5 linked regions of the Xenopus tropicalis genome follow. The protein of the gene in region 3 interacts with the protein of the main gene of each other region in a pairwise test. Links are inferred from orthologs where the notes say so. Each region holds a gene or a part of one and is shown on either strand. Other genes may lie near its edges.

Region 1 (4,250 bases), on a different chromosome or scaffold from region 3:
GTGAGAGTGTGGTGTTGAGTGTGCAAGAGAGAGTGTGAGTGAGTGTGAGTGTGAGAGAGAGTGAGTGTGCGAGAGAGAATGAGTGTGTGAGAGAGAGCGTTAGTGTGTGTGAGTGTTGTGAGAGAGTGTGTGAGTGTGCGAGAGTGTGAGTGTGCAAGAGAGTGTGTGTGCGAGAGAGAGTGTGGAGTGTGGAGAGAGTGTGAGTGTGCGAGACAGAGAGAGAGTGTGAGTGTGCGAGAGTGTGAGTGAGTGTGTGTGCGAGAGAGTGTGTGAGTGTGCAAGAGAGTGTGAGAAAGAGTGTGCAAGAGAGTGTGAGTGTGCAAAAGAGTGTGCGAGAGTGTGAGAGAAAGAGAGTGTGAGAGAAAGAGAGTGTGTGAGAGAGTGTAAGTGTGTGAGAGAGTCTGTAAGTGTGTGAGCAAGTGAGAGTGTGAGAGACAGAGAGCATGTGTGTGACAGAGTGAGAGAGTGTGAGAAAGAGAGTGTGCGAGAGTGTAAGTGTGAGAGAGTGTGCGAGAGACAGAGAGCATGTGTGTGAGTGAAAGAGAGTGTGTGAGAGACAGTGTGTGACAGAGAGAGAGACGGTGCAAGAGTGTGAGTGAGTGTAAGTGTGTGTGAGAGAAAGAGTGTTCGAGAGTGTGTAAGAGACAGAGAGTGTGAGTGTGCGAGAGAGACAGTGTGTGTGAGAGAGAGACGGTGCGAGAGTGCGAGAGAGTAATAAGACAGCGGTGCTGCCCCTCTGACAAGCTGGAGACTTTCTGCTTTCCCATGATGTGAGCCTTCCTCCTCCTCCTCCTCCTCCTCCTCCCCAGCCCCATAGAGAGTGCACTTCCCTGTGCTGCCCCTCCTGCCTCCCTCCTGCCTCCCTTCTGCCCTCCCCTTCCTTCTTTCCCCACTTTCTAAAGTGCACTTGTCTCTTTGTGCTCATGTTGTTGGTCTCCTAGCTGCACCCTGTCACCCTGACTCCCCCCCCCCCAAACCCAATCACCCCCAGCTCAGGGGCACTTTCTGCCTGTTACCCCCCCCCCCATGACTTTTTCTCTCTCCCAAATTTTATTTTTTGCTGACATTTATTGCTGCAACGTCAGCAGGCAGGCCCCGCCCCTGTGCATGTCATTAGGGCCCCCCCCTGAGGGTGCCTGTGAGTGAGCTCCTTTCCATGCCAATAATCCTGGATCCAGACTCCCCTCCTCCTCTTCCTCTCCAGCTGTCAATCACAGGCGCCTTTGAACTGAAAAGCTTCCCAGTCCGACTTGCTCCGACTCAATTGGGGCGAGTGCAGCTCAGTACCGGGCTCTCTGTGTGTCTCAGCCCGGCTTGGGGCCCGGAGTAGTTTGGGGGGGCTGCAGTCGGACTGAGCCGCGGATTTGGGGGCCGCGCATTTTGCTCTTTTTCTCTCTTTATTTTTGGCTTCTTGTTGTTGTTGAATCTGGCGGAGTGCGGAGCCGGGAGGTGGGGGCCCCGCTAACCGGACTGGCACAGCCCCCCCTTTCCCTCCCAGCCCCCCCACCGGCAGCACAAAGCAGGGGAACAGCCCGGGGCCCCCTCTCCCCCCCACATTGCAGGAGCCGGGAGCGGCCAGGGGAGGAAGGGAAACTTTTTTTGTCGGAGGGGGGAATCTTGGGGCTGAGTCTGGGAGTTGCAGTGCGACAGAGTAGCAGGGGCAGAGATGCCGCAGTTGAACGGCGGTGGGGGGGACGATCTGGGGGCCAACGATGAAATGATCTCCTTTAAGGATGAGGGGGAACAGGAGGAGAAAATCTCCGAGATCAGCTCGGCCGAGCGGGACCTGGCGGATGTCAAGTCGTCTCTTGTCAATGAGTCTGAGACCCCCCAGAACAGCTCGTCCGACTCTGAGGTAAGGGGGGGCAACATGTGGGGGCACATGGGGGGGGCAGATAGTGGGGGCAGATAGTGGGGGCATGGGGCACATGGTGGGGGCAGATAGTGGGGGCATGGGGCACATGGCGGGGGCAGATAGTGGGGGCATGGGGCACATGGCGGGTAAGGGGCACAGAGGGCAAGAGGTTGGGGGAACAAACAGGGAAGCGCATTGGGGCACAGAGGGCAATTGATTGTTGGCAGAGGCAGTGTGGGGGGCAGAAAGGGCACAGAGGGCAATTGATTGTTGGCAGGGGCAGTGTGGGGGGCAGAAAGGGCACAGAGGGCAGAGGGTCGGGGGACACAGGGGCAAAGAGTCTCAAAGTGAGGGGGGCAAGTAATAAAGGGGGGCACAGAGGAGAAGCCTCGGTGAGATATCGGGGGCACAGTACCAGCCTGGGGGTAAATGGAGTGGGTGTTTGGGGTAAGTAAATATTTGGGAAGAAGGGGGTAATAGTTGGGGCATAACGGGTACGGGGTGTTGCCCCTGGCAGGGGGGAATTACAGGTAAGTGCCAGGGGGTAAGTGACCTTCTGCCCCAATACTGGCATTTGCAGGAAACTTGCCCTTTGCCGGGAGTAGTGCCCAGAGATGCCCTAGTGTGGGGCAGTACGGGCAGAACTATATACTGGGGCAGGAGTGAGGGCACAAGCACCCCAGCAGGGGCAGATTGATGGGGCAGGTTTACACGCCCGGGGGTAACTGTTTCTTTCCCCCGTATCAGGCGGAGCGGCGCCCCCCTCCCCGGTCCGAGAGTTTCCGGGACAAGAGCCGGGACAGCCTGGAGGACGGTGAGTTCCGAGTGCGGAGATTGGCCGATACTGGGCCGATATCGGGCCGGGCCCGGGCATTGTTTATTGCTTTATAATAAAACTTTACTCTCTTTCCCCCCCATGTAGCTGCCAAAAGGCCCGACGGAGGGCTGTTTAAGGGCCCGGCATATGGAGGTTACCCCTTCATCATGATCCCCGACCTGACCAGCCCCTACTTGCCCAACGGATCTCTCTCTCCCACTGCCCGAACGGTAAGTGGCTCCTCAGGGGAGGGTCCCAGGTAGCAGCCCCGCCCACTGCCCTCTCTGTGCCTGATCAACTTTGATTATATTGCTGCACCCCCATACTGCTTAATTATTACTCATTAGTACCCCCCCCCCCCACTTTGGCCTTGTACTAACACCCTTGGCCTTTGCCTGTCCCACTAATAGTATTCTCTCATTAGTACTCATTAGCCTTTACTATACTGATACTATCTATTCTCTCATTAGTACTCATTAGCCTTTACTATACTGATACTATCTATTCTCTCATTAGTACTCGTTAGCCTTTACTATACTGATACTATCTATTCTCTCATTAGTACTCGTTAGCCCTTACTATACTGATACTATCTATTCTCTCATTAGTACTCATTAGCCTTTACTATACTGATACTATCTATTCTCTCATTAGTACTCGTTAGCCTTTACTATACTGATACTATCTATTCTCTCATTAGTACTCGTTAGCCCTTACTATACTGATACTATCTATTCTCTCATTAGTACTCGTTAGCCTTTACTATACTGATACTATCTATTCTCTCATTAGTACTCGTTAGCCTTTACTATACTGATACTATCTATTCTCTCTTTGTTATATATTATTACACCCTCCCTACACTTTCTCTAATAATATTAATACTCTCTCCTGTTACTCTGCTTTTATTTCACACTTTGCCTCGTTACTTGTTATATTCCAATTTAATACTCTGTTTTTATTAATTATTAAATATTCCAATATTATATCCTCGCTGCCCCCTGTGTATTAATACTCCCTATAATTACCCTTTCTGTTATTGGTAAAGATACTCTCTCTCTTCAATACCTTGTCTGCTATTTTATTATTATTATTATTACTATTAATACTTTCCCTGTTTTTGCATTAATACTCGGTGTCTTTTCTGATTGTACAAATACTATTTATTAAATACATTCTCTCTCTCAATAAATTCTTACCTCTTTCTGTTATTCCTCTGACACTCACCTTCCTTTTTATTCCTATTAATTCTCTGCTTTTTATTTGAAATGTTTTCCCCATTATTTACCCCCCCACGCTACTGTTACTCCCACATTATCTCTTCCCTTAAGAGAGAAAAATTAATTTTTTTCACATTGATCTCCAACTTGTGGCTGTTCGGCTGAGGTTGTACTACAACTCCCAGCATCCCTTACAGCCTAAGGGCAGTGGGTTGGGGGGGGGGTCACCAGAGTATAAGGATTATTTTTCTTGCCTTTCACCCCCCTGTTTCTTTGGTTTGACCCCGGTGTTTCCCACGTGTATATCTCTATATCTCGCTGTATAGTAATATTGTGTTGCTGTGTGTAGCTGCAGTGT
Region 2 (4,234 bases), on a different chromosome or scaffold from region 3:
AGTCCGAAAGCCTAGGGAGTTTTATGAGAGGGGTCCTTTAGCAAAAAGCCAATAGAAATACAAAGTAAAAAGGCACTCCCATCTTTGCTACAGAGCAGCCTGACCTGAAAACATCTATTAATACAGTACCTAAAACAATGGTGCCTCTTTTACAATTAGCACTGTTAACCCATTGGTTTCTTGCTCACCTGTTCACTTGTCGATCAGTAATGTATTGTGATACAATTACGAAAAGCACAGATTTGCTTTCCTAGATTATCCTAAAAGCAAAACTTCTGTTTAAATTACATAAAAATGTATTCTGTACACCTAACGTTTGTATGAGTTCATCCAGCGCGTTCTATTATAAGGTTCATTCTATAGCCCTATAGAGAGCCATGAATGCCCACTGTATCATATACAGCTTATCAGTTATCTGCTATGTAAAGGTGTGTCCTATAGCCCCATGAGAACTTGGATTGTTGCTCCCATGGCTACACAGCAACTTATTTTACCATAGTAGCACTTGTCAAGCAAACTCAATTTTCTCATGCAGAGTAAACATGCCCAAACTCAGTTGGGGAGTCTGGACTATTGCCTGAATGCCTATCCTGTCAATCAAAGACTTTACCAATAAAGTGATGTGGGCCCAGTCCCAATGGGTCTGCATAGACTTTACAGACCAAAGGGCCCCTGAGAATGCAGAGAAGCTAGGTCCCTTAATGCAATACTGAGTGGAAAACTTGTTAAACTAAAACTCTCCAACCTCCCTAAGGTGTCAAAGGCTCATGTTAATACAATGTATGTAGTATCAACATGTCTTTCCCTTAGAGATCCCATTAGGACTGGGGGCCCAGATGGCGGCAGGGCTTGAGCTAAGTGGGTGTGTGAGTGGGTACAAGCGCCTCTCATATTATAAAGCTACTCACACAATGACAGGAATGATATTAGTACCGGGAATGTGTGCGTTAAACGTGGGTGAGTGAGGCCGGGTCCCTACCGTCAGATAGCCAGTCTCTCTCTCAGCCTACTCCCACAGATAGCGCACAATAGCATGGAATTGCCTTCTGGGTCAGGAACAAGATGCGCCTGCAGTCGCCGCTATTATTCCCTTTCTCTCACACTCACAGAACAGACAGAAGGTGACGCCATGGGTCATGTGACCGAGCTGTGCCTGTGGGACGCGCTGAGGCAGGAAATGGTGTGTCGGGACTACGACTCCCAGCATTCCAGCAAAGCTTGAAACCTGTCGAGCACCACTGTAACCGCAATGTGAAAGTTCAAGCTATGAAGCCGGAAAAAATACAATGTACAGTTAGAGCCCCCGTTGCGCATTTAATTGAATTAAGCAGAGTTTGACACAAGAGGCTTTCCGTCAGTTGATGCAGGGGGTGGGGCTGTACGTGAGATATTGGTGCGCTCTGGCCCTGGAGGCGGAGTTTGTGAGCTAGCGGAGAAAGAGAGTATGGCTGGCAAGAGGGCTCTATTGATTTTGGCCAAGGGGGCCGAGGAGATGGAGACAGTCATTCCCGCTGATGTGATGAGAAGGGCAGGAGTGAGTAATACATGGCTGCTAGCTGCTTGCGAGACCGTATGGCTGTGCAGCTTGCTGGGCATGGAGGGGTGGTTACACTGAGCTCTGAAGGTGTGGTGCGCTGGCACTGTAACTATTGGCTGGATACGGATTTCTAACATCAGGAAGTTCTAGTTCAGTAGCCGCCGCAGGTTGCCATTAGTTAGTGACTGTGCAACAGGTCCCTCTATCAGTGGCTAAGCACTGCTGCTGAACAGTCACACTGCCTATGTCTGCCTGGAGAAATCCAGCCCTTGCTGTCTGTGGCCTGAGCTGGGAATTAAGCACGTTTGATTCTTTGCCTCATTTGCCCACTCAGTTGTTAGGCGAAATCTGCTGCAGGGATTGCTTGGCCCCAGTGCCAAAATCAGCTCATAATTGGGACCTGTGCTGTCCTACTGGGAGGCACCTTGGCAGTCAGTGCTGGGTCTCAGTCAGTGGGCATGCCTTCCTTTTGGCCCCATACATGGGCTTTAAGATACTTAGTTTGTCTGGATTTAATGACTGCACTTGTCCTGCCAGCTTCTCCTGCCACTGTATGTGATTAACCTGCTGGCACGCAATATAGAAGATATAGAGACCAGAGTCTCTCCCACAAAACAAAGCAGGATCAGTTACCCTTTCTCTGAAAGGTTTGTTAACATTACCCTGTTACCTGGAATGTCTGTATGTGATTTAACACTAAGTGTAAAGATTTAAAATCTAGACCTTTCATGGAATGCAAAATAAGAGAATATATGTACAGAGTAACATAGGTTGAAAAAAAGACACACATCCATCAAGTTCATCCTTTTATGCCTAAATCCTGTCTGTTAGTTGATCCAGAGGAGGGCAATATATCTCTTCTGTTGCAATGACCTGCCCTTTGGGTACTGGTAACTGCAGTTTAGGTAAAAAGGAATGATTACAGAGACCTCTAGTGGTAACAAACCACTGTGCAACTTGTGTGTAATGTAACTTTGTGACCTGTGGTGTTTTTATTATCACCTATTAATAAAATACCAACATATTCCACAGTGTTGTACAACAAATGGGTATATCCATTAAATAAACAAGAAAATATACAATTACAACCAACAACCTATACAATACTTAAAGAAGACCCTGTCCAGAAAAACTTTCAACTTTCAAAAAGGGGTAATTTACTATGACCCGGGCACAAAGGGATGCAAATGGCAGAAACCCTGGCAGCACTACCTTCTAAAATAACTACAAGCTCGTGGACATTGCCTCCAGCAATCATATGCTCAAGAAGTCAGTCCATTGGGCAAATTTTAGACACAAATTGCAGTGTGTTGTTTATTAACATTGCAGCTGATTGGCTGTAAGGTGAGCTGTAGAGTAGGCATTCTTCACATTTTTTGATGTGTTGACAATTTAGAGATCAGTGCCATTTACTGCATTTGTGTACAGACTCCACAATATTCAGAATTCCTGTATTATTGTGGGCACATAATAGTATCAAAAGAAAAAGAGAGGAGCGTGCTCCCATAGGATAATATCAATGGTATAATTTTTTAATTTAAATATATTGCACGTAAATAAATAGCAGCAGTATCAACATCTCAACAGCAAAGTCCATATAAGCCTATAGTGTACAGACTTCCTTTGTGCCCCTGAGGAAGTCTTTTTATCAGAACAACACTTCGTAATAGTGTCTGATTCAACTTATATACTAAATATTGATGGAAAATAGTATGTGTTTTGGTAAACTGCACCTAAGTTACTATGTACAGTTGGCATCACTTCCAGGTCTTCAAATTCACATGCCATCAATAGTGGCTTTCCTGTCTGATATACTTGGTGTAAGTCAATTGAATCTGTGGGCACAAACCACTAATGGAAACCTGGAGCTACTGGCAGGTCAAGGCTCTCTTAATCCCATGGATCCCTTGTGTCAATGCACACAGTTGCATGCAATTCATGAGAGCAGGTCGAATGTTGCATGTTTTGTTAAGAAAAGTTTATTTACAGTTGCCATTTTTCCATTTACCAGATAAAGGTAACGATTGCAGGTCTAAGTGGAAAGGATCCGGTTCTGTGCAGCAGAGATGTGGTGCTGTGCCCTGACACTAGTCTGGAGGAGGCTCGAACACAGGTAAGGTATACGTTCATTATTCATAGGTGTGTTGGGCAAACACTCCTACTTTGGCTTACTGTACTGTGTTTTCTCTCGTGAAGGATAACCACATGCCTTCATTTTGCCTAAAAAAACTAAAATTAACTTTTTTTTTTTCTATAACATTTCTGACTGTGAAAGGCACATACATTATCCACTTGCAATATGATTTGGGGTAACCGGATTCTCTGTATAAATAGGCCATTGGGATTTTTGTGTCTAATCATGTGTGGATCTTGTGATATAAGAGTGTGTAGTGTGTTGATCAAATGCTTGTAGCTTGTTAGTTTTTATTTGCATGTATGAAGAATAATTCTAGCTAATATAGCTAGTGGAATACATATGTTCATTCTAGCAGCAATTCTTTACCGCTATAATCTCACTTTCAGCACAGGCAGGCATGGGCTGGGTGCTTTGCCGGCCAGAGCTGCTTTTTAGTGCCAGTCCAGCTCAGCCCTGCTTGGCTGCTTAACTGACAGTTTGAAGGTCAAAGTCTATTTCAGTACATGACACTTTAAAAACTCACCCACCTGCTAGATGTAAAGCCTCTTCATTTATGATCT
Region 3 (3,500 bases):
TCATTTATTGCATTCTCCATTGTTCTTCATTACTTGTTTTTGCCTGTGTAAATTTCCTGTAGAACTTTCCATTGTGTGGGGCCTCTATAGGACTCATAAATTTGTAATGTTATGTTTATTGGGCTTCAAACTGTTCATAAGAGCCCTGGCATTTATATTTGAGTTGTTGTATCTTAGTCATTTGACAGAGAGAAGCTTTGTAGTTATGTAGTAGCTGTCTTTTTGGGACCAACTTACCGTTTTACTGTTTTTTAACCATACCTTAAAAGTAGACAGTGTTAAATGTAGTGAGGATATGTTTAAGTTTACTTGGACAGAGGTCTGGGCCTGAACAAAGGTTTACACGAGAAAGTTATAGTTCTTATTTAGCTATGCTTGTTTTTGTAGCTGAAAGTTGTTATATAAGTTGTTTACATCTAAAAGTATACTGAGTCACTCATCTCCAAGCTCGACGAACAAGTCAGTCACCAACATCTCATCACGTGTTGTCTGGAACATTGTATCACCAAAGACCGTACAGAGTGATTGTGCGTCAAAGGACATGATATAATAAGAACACTGGACAATGATTGGTTAACATATTGGACTTGGGAAGGAAAGAATTGGACTGGGGGGGGGGGGGGGGGCTGTTACATTATTTGTGGCTTATTTTTATAGTCAGTAATGTAAGTTTGGAAGGCTTATGTACATAGTATTGTACACCAGTGTATTAAACATGTCTTCTCATGAATTCAGAGTACTGATGGCATTTTAAAGAAGATTACCCCCCCAAAAATAAATTACAATTTGTAAATGCACATCTCATTTTATTTATTTTTTACAGGTCTATGGCTTATGCCATGTTGTCTCCGCCAAAACTTTTTCCTTAAGGTCCTGTTCGCTATAAAATGGCTCTTGTGGATGATGTTATAATACTAGATGATGATACAGATACTACAAATGTCGTTCCAAATGATTCAACTTGCGAGCGGCTTTCACCAGAAATTAATGGAAAGAAAGGAAGAGAAAGCAAGAGGAAGTCAGGCTCGATGAGTGCAGAGAATACCGCGTTATTTGAAAAGGTAGGGTTTTTCAAGTCACTATCTCTGTTTCCTGTGTTTTGCTTTCCCTTTCTGTAGCCTTTTTTTTCCCTCTTTCTTCAACTCCAGCCCATGGTTGATCAACTTATATCCTTTCTCTCTGCTGTTCCCAATCATTCTTGTTTTTGGGTATGTAATAGAATGACCAATTCTCCGAATGTTTTGCCTTTTCCGTCTGACTCTTTATAGCTTTCAGATGGGGGGGGGGGGGTTATTAATATTCCAATCTCCTATTCAAACCACTGCCTGGTTGGTAGAGTAAATTGCTGAAATTCTAAAATGGAGAGCAGTTTAAATAAAAAATCAAGACTGACTGACTGCAAGTTGTCTCAGATTATTACTCTCTAAATTATAAAATTAAAAGCGAATTCAAAGATGAATAAAACCTTTAATTAAAATTTTGTTCTTTTTTCACATTAATCCTTACACACAATCACCTCTAAACTTTTCAGTTTGTAGATTACTGCACCAGGCTCACCCAAGAACACCCTGAAGTTATTGTTTTTCTCAGAGGTCGTCTTTCCAAGGCCAGCCCTTCTTTCTTGTCCTCTGTTGAGTTTCATAACATATTGGGTCGCTGTCTCACAAGGGTGCAAAGTAAGCACACAAAAGTCTACGTTTATATCAATGAACTTTGTACTGCACTAAAGGCCAATACAACCAAGCGCAAGATTATCTTAAAGTCACCTGCTCATCATACAACATCCATAGAACATATAGAGGGAGGCAGCACAATAGAAGAAGAAGAAACAAAGGAAGAAGAGGAGAGTACATCAAAGAAAGCTGGTTCCAAAGCTCAAATTCGGTATCTTGAAAACCTGCTTCAGACATTTTCAAGGGAGATTCAAAAACTGCAGGAGAAAGAGTTAAGCCTTGACGAACTGGAAGATGAGGACTCTTCATACATACAGGAATCCCGTCTTAAAAGAAAACTACTTTGCATCTTCCACAAACTCTGTCAGTTGAAGGGTTGCCCCAGCCTTACTGGTCGAGTAATAGAGCAGAAGATTAAATATTGTGGCACGCGTTACCCAGAAGTTAATCGCAGGTTGCAAAAGTTCATAAATGAAACTAGTGATGGCTTCCCAGACTATGGTGATGTACTTCGAGTGATACAAAAGGCCAATGAGAAGCACAGTCTTGGTTTGGTGCGCAGACAAATGGAAGGGATGGCCCAGGATGCATTTCGTGAGCTAGGAAATCGACTGCAGGAAAGAAGGCATCTCGATCTGGTATATAACTTTGGATGCCACCTCACTGATGCCTATAAGCCAGGTAAATGCGCAAAAGATGAAAATGCTATTCCTCTTGGTCATGTGTTCTTCTGTCTAGGTGTGATTGAAAAAAACTTGCACAATGGATTAAAAATGTATGCAGGCTCCTAAATTATAACAGCATTCACATTTACACTTTGTGTTAAAAAGGTAAAAATGAACACTTGATTCTGGTTTTTAGGAATAGTGATATCTTTTGACTGAGAAGTGGTTGATGTTCATACACCCTTGATTTTTTCCTTTTTACTTAGTCTTTGTTTAGCCTATCCCTTTATGTTTTACCCCCTTTTTCTTTTTCCGGTTCCCTTGTGTGAAATCTGTAATTTAGCTTTTTTTCTTTTGATCATTCTTTCCTCCTTCCCACCCCTCCATGACTATCCAATGGTTTTTACTTTTTCCTGTGGAATGGGTATCAGACTCAATAAAAGATAAAGCATAACATTAGCTTCACTCCTATGTGGCATCTTCAGGTTATTAAAATTTAACATTTATTAGTCCATAAATAAAGGGTGCTCATCATTCCAGTACCTTAGACCCACCAATGAATGAACAAAACACGTGTGTGTATTGGATCAGCTTGTGTATATGTAGAGAGTGCTGCTGCAGGAATTGAAAGTCAGTGGAGAATGAGAGATGGGTAAACAAAAAAAAACAACGTGCCAAGCATTGGTGCTTTCTATTATGTGGATTTGTTAGATGTTTCAGTTCCTGGAGTAGTGCTTTTCCAATGGTCATGCAGATTTGGATTTGTCCAGACTAAACTGAATCTGGATTGTTAATTTCATATGACTTTAAAGCATATTGGTGGATGAGGGGAGATTTATTTACGTAAATTCAGACTTGGTTTAGTATTCAGGTGAATTGTTTGTGGATAATATTTGGCCTTATATAGTAATCATGATGGATTCATCAATAAGCGACTGAAGTTTGTCACATGGCTGAAGGCAATTGGGAAACTAAATGGCTAGCCTCATGTCAAATTTAAAATCAGATATTAAAAAAATGTGTTTGCTGTTTTTGGAAAACAGACTCCTTACAGAATTCTGCTGGAGAAGCTCTACTAACTGGCGTGTTTTGTAAAATTACATGTTTTTTTGTGATTCAAGGATTTTTTGGATTTGGCTTGGAACTGATTGAGTCTGTTGAT
Region 4 (4,034 bases), about 29 Mb from region 3:
CGCTTGCTGAGTAAAAATCAATAAAACAGCTTCACTTGAAGCTGTTACCTGGTATTTTGGATACATATATATATATACACACTATATATGTAGTTTTGGATTGTAAATTCTAAAGAGCAGGGCCCACTCTACTGCCTAACAGTAATGGTATGTATTCTGTATGTTTTATTACACATTATACTTGTTAATAGTAATTCCAGCATAATTTGCTCATACATAAAGCTGAATTCTAGTGTCAAGTTATTCTATAACCCTGTGATTTGAAATGTGTAAACAACCCCTCCTAGGATTAGCCAATATAATCTTGTAGCACTTAAATTACTAGTAATAATCTCTGGGATTTCACATGGTTCATAGAAACTCTCAGCATCTTTAGATTAGTGGAAATCAAATCCTGAGCAATCATGCTTTCTCAGAATTGCTTTGTTTTTATTGTGCTACCAAATTCAGAATGGTTTGGTCCACTGACCAGGATGTGATTGGTTTCAGACAATGTTAAGGAAAGCATTACCCCAGCTCAGTTAACATGACTCAGTGCTTTTCTCCCACCCAGCAGGGAAGAATGATTAAAAAAAAAAAAAAAAAAAAAAAAAAACCTGTCCAATCAACATACTGATCATTTGTTCCAAAAAGCTGCTCCTAATTGATTTTGTGTTGAAAAGAGTATTGTGAACTGCAGTGATGCAGGACAGCCCCATGAGAAGGAATATTTACATTTTGCTGGCTTATTGGCTGGTTTAAGGCATAGGTATACTATGTTGTTGCCATTCACAATGCATACTGGTAATGTTACCCTTATCTAAGGTTTATTTCACTGCAGTGATTAAAGTGATTAACCTTTAGCAAATTTGTCCTACAGTTCAATAAAGAACAAAAAAGAAAACACCAACGGTCATGAGGGTGCCCATTGGCATGCTAGCACATATTTTGCATTCACCTACCAGCTCACAAGCATAGCCACTTTGTGTTCTAAACTAACAGCAGATACAAAACTGGCATTGAATCTCTGGCAGGCAAGGCAAAATTAAGAAATCCTTAACTCGGCAAATGATGCGTTAAGATCTGTTGCTCTTTTTGCTGGTTTGAACCTGCCCTCAGTAAATGAAATTCTTTTGTTTTTGTTCATGGTATCGTTTGAGCAAAAAACACTTATGGGACACCATGCCGTCCTCTGCTACAAACAGTAGTGGGAGCCATCTGGTAACCTTGTAAGGGGTTTTCTAGGTGTGTGTCTGATGCTTTTTCTTACGGTCAGTGAAATTCCTAGATGGACACTGACACCCTTGCAGGTTAGCCTTGTGGATTGTGTGTGTGGCAGTGCAGTATGACACTGTTCTTGCTGGTTTCAAATCATAAGACTGATAAATCAGTGCAACGTGGTGCATCTGAATGCAGTAAAACAGCTCTATATTGCTAGCTGTGTGTCGGATATGCATATGCTGTAGTGTAGCTAACGCTGCTAATCATTTAATTGGCTTTTACACAGCAGAACAGGACCTCCTATCTGCAACCCTTCATCTGTTCAGTTGCTTATCCCAGCATCCTCTGAAAGCATTCAGCTGTGATTGGTTACTAGAGGGTCTGACAGCACCATAGTAATGTTTGTGATAGTGCCATATATGTAATGAATAGGCTGATAAATGAGCTCCACAGAACCTTAGCTATGTAGTGTAGCTTTATAATTAATACTACTGCTTCAGGTCTCTCTATGGGGCTGTGCTTGGTTTACTTCAATTATTTAGAGGTGAACTCTACCAACCTAATATCACATATCCTATTTGCAACCCACACCTTGTATCACTTTCCTTCAAAACGTGCAGGGCTAGCTCTTTTTTTTGTACTAATATCAGTGTATGTGCTATGTTTATGCTAGGGCTGCTGCAAAGTAATGGCAGTAAATGAATATACGCATTACTCGCTAGGGCTGTGACTGTGGCAGCCGAATGTGCTTTGGCTCTACCAGCCAGGTGCCCTTTGCCACACGGTGCTGCTGGGTACCAGAGGGAGCGGATGGGCACAGGGGGCGCTGTGGGCTCACCTCTCCCGCAGGGTCGGGTGGAAGGACTGCCAGTTGCCGCTCTCAATGTTGTTGTTGTTGAGGTTGTGGAGTTGCGGCGGCGGCGGGGCAGCCTGCTGGAGCTGGAGGGCGTTCTTCTTGGCGTTGGCAGCGGCGTTACTGTTAGCGATATTGGTGTTTGCGCTGGCAGGGTAAAGCTCTGCAGCCATCTTCTTCTTGAGGGCCAAGGGCACTATCTCATAGCATGCTTGCACCTTGCCCTGTGCCCTGGCACTCTTTCTAGACTTCTTTAAGGTCTCTGGAAGCAGAAGAAAGAAAGTCAAACACTTCATGACCCTGCCATTAAGGCAGCCTGGGTCTAGTGGCATGGGCAAGGGGGCGGCTAGCAGCAGGTCCTCTGTGCGATGGCTTGGGCATCAGCCACCCGATGAGACAGTCTCCTAGAACTTGCCAAGCGATCTGAGTCCCGCACCGATAGATAGTCCATCACAGGGCAATAATGCGCCCAACCGAGGGAGGGCACTCCAAGGCCAGCGCTTACACTCCCAAGATGCTTCTCAAACCCCAAGACCCCAGTATCCAGCCCTGTCACGTCTCCTTATCCGCTGGCACGGTAATCCCACACAGCCCCTAGCAGTGGGCACGCCGGGCAATCACATCCTAGCGAGTAATGCGGGGCTGCGATTTGCCTCTCTGGGATGCACCAGCTGCTTCTGCTTTTGTGTTGCGGAGCATATGCCCAGCGTATCGCAGAGCGCCTCCTCCTCCTCTCAGTGCTGCTCTACGTGTACAGGGGCAAGGCTACAGCTCAAATAGGGAGCAGCCAGCCAGCGCGTCACGCCCGCCTCCGCCAATCAATGCGCGCAGCGCAGCCATTCACAGCAGCCTTTGCACCATCTACAGCCCCTGTCACACAGGGAGAGGGGAGCTGAAGGGGCAGCTAGATCACACAATATGTCATTCTTCCACTAGCCCGGTGCTTTCCGTGCTCTAGCAGCCCATAGGCATAGCAATTCTCCCCAGTAGAATAATGGAGGGGTGTACTCAGCTGCAACGTCATAGCCTTTAGGCACTGCGAGAGTTAAACCGCTTGCAAAGTCTTACCCGCTTTATGTATACATTCAGCTGGCATTGCCCATGGGCAGTCACATCCCGCTGAGTATTGCAATTTGCAGCACTCGTTAGCTCGCAGGGATGTTCCGACCTTCGCCCGTCCAGCTGTTGTGACACTACAACTCTCAACTCCCAGCGCAGCCTCAGGCTATATGAGGAGAGTGCTAGTTCTAGTCGTACAACAGCTGCAGAGCCTTGGGAGTCGCGTATGAGCTCCTGCTGCCTGTGCGCAGTGTTCCGTACCTTGCAGAGGGAACTCGGCGCATCGGGATCGACGGTGGGATGAGGAGATGGCAGTGAGGGGCAGTCCCAGGCACTCGCTCCCTTCCTTCTCTCCTCACTTCTTCTTGGGATGCGTCCTTCTCTGTGTCGGGCGCTAGGGGGCGCTTGCTCGGGAAGTTTTTTTTCCCGTCCGGATTCAAAACAATGATTTTCCACCAATGGAAAGAAGTTGTGTATCTCGTAGCACAAAGCAGAAAGACAATACGCGCCTTCCTATCCCCATGTCCCTTGTTCTTCGCCTGTTCTGTGTCTATCTCAGCCAGTATTGGCTGCTCTACTGCAAGCGTGTATAAACACATGTTATAGTGCAGTCAGATGGCTTGTAATAGCAAATAGAAACTTTTATTCAACATCTGCGTCGTTTAAGCTTTTTCGATGTAGTGGGCTTCTTATTTATTATATACTTTGTGCTGGGACCACATTATAATAAAGTGAAGCCATAGGATATCGTCAGTAGTGGCTTTTCGCAGAGTGTGCTCCTCAAATTGCATGATTCTCATTTATATTGTCATTTGTCCCCTGTGGCATTTTGTGATGAGTTAGGCCATAACGTAAGCAATGAAGTTAATCAGCTACAGATTTATTAAGGTTGGTGATGTGTGCATTTTGTATTTCCTGTCAC
Region 5 (4,252 bases), on a different chromosome or scaffold from region 3:
ACAACTGGTCTGAAACTTTATTCAGCACCCTGAAAAAAGTATAGGTATAAGTCACTTTTAAAAAGAGACGTAAAGGTAAAAATCACTAGGAGGTGTGACCACCAGTAATTCTACTCATGAAGCTGGTGCCCGAGTCCAGTAATCATGAATACAGGAGTATAGCCCCAACATTTTTATCCTATTTATGGTGCATCCCATGAGCAGCACAGCGAGTCCAAGATATACTGTACTACACATGTGCACTTGGGCAGAAAAGCATGGCGGCAGGGTGCTCAGAAACAAGCTTCCTGGGCACCAGCCTGTGCATGCAAGTTGGGATTTTTACCTTTACTTCTTTAATCAGGCTGTAACACCACTGCACCACAGTACCATGTAGTGAAATGGCATTTGTTACATGAACTCTAAAGCCAAGTTGGCCAAAACACAACTAGCCAAAAATTTAAAGGATATTTACATCTTCTATTGGAGTCCGCAGGCTCATTCCATTGGCCAACTTGGCTACAAAGTTCTAGAAAAAAGTAACATGGAAAAGTTCACAATGTAACTTGTTTTTAAGCTAGCCACAGGTCAAGCCAGCAACAGCCAAGCATCTAATTTCAGACAGCTTTAAAGGAAACATGTGAAAATTATGAAATACAGAAGGATTGTGCTAAAAAAAAAGTTGTGTCTTGGACTGATTGAAAGATTCCCCCAAAACCCTAATAGTCCTGCCCATCTGTTTCACTAGATGTGAAGGGGGGCTGGCAGCACTCTGTACACTGCACTGTAGGATAGGAACCAATCGGTTTCCCATCAGGTTGGCTGACCTGATAGGGAACTGAAGCCTTTGCTTGTGTGACTGCCGGACTGTGATTGCCTATTTCCCCATTACTGTACTTCTGGCAGGGATCTTAAGGACACGCCTACCCCTCATTTGAAGCACTGACAGGAACCTGAGGATCTATAGGGAGCTCCAATAAAAGTAAAGCCAGCCCCAAATATTCATAATTGCCTACAAAATCAGTTTTTTCTTCATTTAGCCAATGCCCCCTTTAAAGTTAACAGGTCAAAGGTTACAGAATCACTACTGCTAATCACCATCAGTAAGCCAATGGCCATCAGAGCTTAGGTCAAGCCCCTTAGTTTACAGCAAGTCTACAGATGCAACTTGTAAGGCTTATACAATCAAATATGTAGAACAGTTTCAGCCCCACACATCTTAACACCTTCAAAATGAAAATTTAAGTAAATCTAGGAAAGTAAATAGTCTGCCAAATCTTACCAAAATTAGCATTCAATATAAAAGCACCACCATAAAATAGATCAGAATATGGAGTTCCAGGACCTTTAATAATTGCACTCAGCCGGAGGTCTTGTATCTGGGTATCTGTGCATATGTATGTAACACAACCAATCTGGCAATTCCAGAGGAGCCGCTTTAAAATACCATAAACCGTAACTATTCAGTGGGCTACTGTACTTTAAATACCAAAACCTATTTTAAAACCCAGTCCAGAGCTACATACATGTATTCAATGGGGCTTTATATATAGTTTCTAAATTTGCCTTCTAACCGGTCCAGCTTTCAGATGTGGGTCTCAGATCCCAAGAATCTTTGCTCTATATGGCCACAATTGTATTACTTTTCACTGATTATCGTACTATTCAGACCTACAATTCATATCCCTGCCCTTTGTTCCAACCACTCCCTGGTTGCTAAGGCTAGTAGAACCCTACCAACCCAATAGCAGCTGGAATTCCAAACTGGAATGTTGAACAAATTGAAGTTAAAAGACCCAACAAAAGAGACCAATTGCAAATTCTCAGATTACACTCTACCTCATTCTGAGTAACTCAGGTGAACAAACCCTCTATAGCCCTTTACCCATCAACCCTCTAGCACAGTCCCAGAGAATCTACAAAAAGCGATCTAACACATGGTTGTGTCGAATAAAATAAATGAAGTTGGTTTAGGATCGACCCCCCCCCCCCACTGAGCAGGAGGAATGGCGGGACACTAGAATCTCATGTCTCACAAGAGACAAGGGGAGCCGTTAGCATGCGGCCATGGCCCACCCCATTACTGAGAGACTGCTCGATACAAGCCGGCAGGAAGAATGGCGAGCCGTGGGCAGTGGGAAGAGCGCGGCGTGGGACACACGTGTTCCGGCTCCAGCCAGGCCCGGCTTTGTGCTACCGGCATGTGGGCGGGGCTAGGGGCGGGGCATCGCCTGGGGAACACGTGGCCGCTGGCTTCTCAGCACGGACGCGCTACTTACGTCACGATATCTCCCCACGCGTGAAATTCCCCGCAGTGGACGCCCGTGTGCGAGGCTCCTAGCCGCCATTATACCACATCCCTTTAAAAAGGACGAGTCACTGCTGTACTACAGCATTATCGCCTCCCCGGCACCCTAGGGGTTCTGCAGAACCGCTCAACAGAGACCCAGGCCCTGCGGCGTTTAAGCCCTAAGTGAGCAAATTCCAGCCATTTAACGGGGCGGCCATGGGGCGATGTGCTAGTTCGCCGCCATTGAGAGCGTAGAGTGTTAAAGAGTTAAAAGGCCGCAGTGGCCTCACAAAGCGCTCGGCTATAGCGCACAGCCCACCCACTCCCCATAGCTCTTCTCTCGGCTAGTTACCTCCATGTTGCAGGTGCTCGCTTCAGCCATGTTTGTCAGTCTCTCTCACGAATCTAAAAAAGAAACTCAAAGCCACGCCACCGGCTTTGTACGAGAGAACTGCGACATGCGCTTCGGCCCCTTTGCCTTTTATATAGAGAAGCACAAGCCCCGCCCACACACGGCACCGCCCCGGCGTCCTTCGCGCGTTTTTTTCTACCCCTCAACAAGAGCAGATTGTGCCTTTCTTCGCGAAACTGATCCGCCCCCTCCCATCCCCGTACTCCCATTGGCCAGTTTCTATAAATCTTGGCCCACTCACTGGCAGAGGGCTCCGCCCGTCAGTTCGTTCGCTTGGCTGATTGGTGAGTTTGTTTAAAACGTAAAACATTGCGTAATAAAATGGAGTCTTTGTATGTTGAGCTAGCTTAATTTTAGTAGTTCGAGTTTCGGCCGAGCGGTACTGGAGTCACAATACTATTCTTGAAAAAATATTTTATTAGCCTGGGTTATATGACAGAAATCACACATATATCCTCCGAGGAAGAACTGGACTCAATATAAGCCTTATCAGTATAAAGTGAGCTGACAAATCTGTGCACACGACTCCATGCCTATGTTATTGTCCAATGTGTCCTCTCCAGTCATAAGATTCCATGAAAGCAGAAACCTGTAAAGTGCATCACATCTCTACTGTTTTGGTTGCTAATACTCTGAATTAAACAGATAGATATAAAATACTTTAGGGTAAAGTAAAGGCTTCCCAGAAATGTATGAATGTTTATTAAAAAACATAAACTTTCCAATATTTATAATGTAAAATATAATCTATATATTGGAAAGTTTTTTTTGTTAATAAACAAATGCATTTGTAGACTATTTGAAAGAAATTGCTTCCAGTGCCCTCAGCAGTATCAGCCTGACCCATTGGCAATACTGCAGGTAGTCACTAGCACATTGGTGATAAGGGTCATTAGTTGGTATTTGGTTTTAGCTAGTTATTTTTATCATAAACAGGTCTATATACTAAAACTAAATGCAAAGGTGAACATTCCCTTGAAATTAAGCCAAATAATAGGTTCCCAAACTGCAGAGTGCCATTGAGCCCTATGGGAGACTTTCCTTGGGCCAGGTTGGAGCTGCAGAGTGCCATTGAGCCCTATGGGAGACTTTCCTTGGGCCAGGTTGGAGCTGCAGAGTGCCATTGAGCCCTATGGGAGACTTTCCTTGGGCCGGGTTGGAGCTGCAGAGTGCCATTGAGCCCTATGGGAGACTTTCCTTGGGCCGGGTTGGAGCTGCAGAGTGCCATTGAGCCCTATGGGAGACTTTCCTTGGGCCGGGTTGGAGCTGCAGAGTGCCATTGAGCCCTATGGGAGACTTTCCTTGGGCCAGGTTGGAGCTGCAGAGTGCCATTGAGCCCTATGGGAGACATTCCTTGGGCCGGGTTGGAGCTGCAGAGTGCCATTGAGCCCTATGGGAGACATTCCTTGGGCCGGGTTGGAGCTGCAGAGTGCCATTGAGCCCTATGGGAGACTTTCCTTGGGCCGGGTTGGAGCTGCAGAGTGCCATTGAGCCCTATGGGAGACTTTCCTTGGGCCGGGTTGGAGCTGCAGAGTGCCATTGAGCCCTATGGGAGGCTTTCCTTGGGCCGG

What was found. The genes of interacting proteins can lie anywhere in the genome.
Region 1: the proteins of daxx (region 3) and tcf7l2 interact in binary tests that used the Homo sapiens proteins (3 or more experiments, as listed by UniProt). The link is inferred for Xenopus tropicalis from reciprocal best matches to the Homo sapiens genes DAXX and TCF7L2.
Region 2: the proteins of daxx (region 3) and park7 interact in binary tests that used the Homo sapiens proteins (3 or more experiments, as listed by UniProt). The link is inferred for Xenopus tropicalis from reciprocal best matches to the Homo sapiens genes DAXX and PARK7.
Region 4: the proteins of daxx (region 3) and btbd6 interact in a two-hybrid assay, tested with the Homo sapiens proteins (2 studies listed by BioGRID and IntAct). The link is inferred for Xenopus tropicalis from reciprocal best matches to the Homo sapiens genes DAXX and BTBD6.
Region 5: the proteins of daxx (region 3) and prmt1 interact in a two-hybrid assay, tested with the Homo sapiens proteins (2 studies listed by BioGRID and IntAct). The link is inferred for Xenopus tropicalis from reciprocal best matches to the Homo sapiens genes DAXX and PRMT1.

Annotation. Positions count from the first base shown.
Region 1 is NC_030683.2:3,317,414-3,321,663, reverse strand, and holds the start of tcf7l2 (transcription factor 7-like 2), read left to right. Parts: upstream 1-1,450; 5' UTR 1,451-1,666; coding exon 1,667-1,855; intron 1,856-2,602; coding exon 2,603-2,669; intron 2,670-2,777; coding exon 2,778-2,902; intron 2,903-4,250. UniProt on the Homo sapiens protein: Participates in the Wnt signaling pathway and modulates MYC expression by binding to its promoter in a sequence-specific manner. Acts as a repressor in the absence of CTNNB1, and as activator in its presence.
Region 2 is NC_030683.2:96,565,201-96,569,434, reverse strand, and holds the start of park7 (protein deglycase DJ-1), read left to right. Parts: upstream 1-1,434; 5' UTR 1,435-1,444; coding exon 1,445-1,534; intron 1,535-3,548; coding exon 3,549-3,650; intron 3,651-4,234. UniProt on the Homo sapiens protein: Multifunctional protein with controversial molecular function which plays an important role in cell protection against oxidative stress and cell death acting as oxidative stress sensor and redox-sensitive chaperone and protease.
Region 3 is NC_030684.2:72,198,652-72,202,151, reverse strand, and holds part of daxx (death domain-associated protein 6), read left to right. Parts: intron 1-823; 5' UTR 824-887; coding exon 888-1,061; intron 1,062-1,531; coding exon 1,532-2,354; intron 2,355-3,500. UniProt on the Homo sapiens protein: Transcription corepressor known to repress transcriptional potential of several sumoylated transcription factors. Down-regulates basal and activated transcription.
Region 4 is NC_030684.2:100,782,627-100,786,660, reverse strand, and holds the start of btbd6 (BTB/POZ domain-containing protein 6), read right to left. Parts: upstream 2,801-4,034; 5' UTR 2,386-2,800; coding exon 2,039-2,385; intron 1-2,038. UniProt on the Homo sapiens protein: Adapter protein for the cul3 E3 ubiquitin-protein ligase complex. Involved in late neuronal development and muscle formation.
Region 5 is NC_030683.2:111,004,572-111,008,823, reverse strand, and holds the start of prmt1 (protein arginine N-methyltransferase 1), read right to left. Parts: upstream 2,801-4,252; 5' UTR 2,652-2,800; coding exon 2,622-2,651; intron 509-2,621; coding exon of another isoform or gene 455-508; intron 1-454. UniProt on the Homo sapiens protein: Arginine methyltransferase that methylates (mono and asymmetric dimethylation) the guanidino nitrogens of arginyl residues present in proteins such as ESR1, histone H2, H3 and H4, FMR1, ILF3, HNRNPA1, HNRNPD, NFATC2IP, SUPT5H, TAF15, EWS, HABP4, SERBP1, RBM15, FOXO1, CHTOP, MAP3K5/ASK1, MICU1 and NPRL2.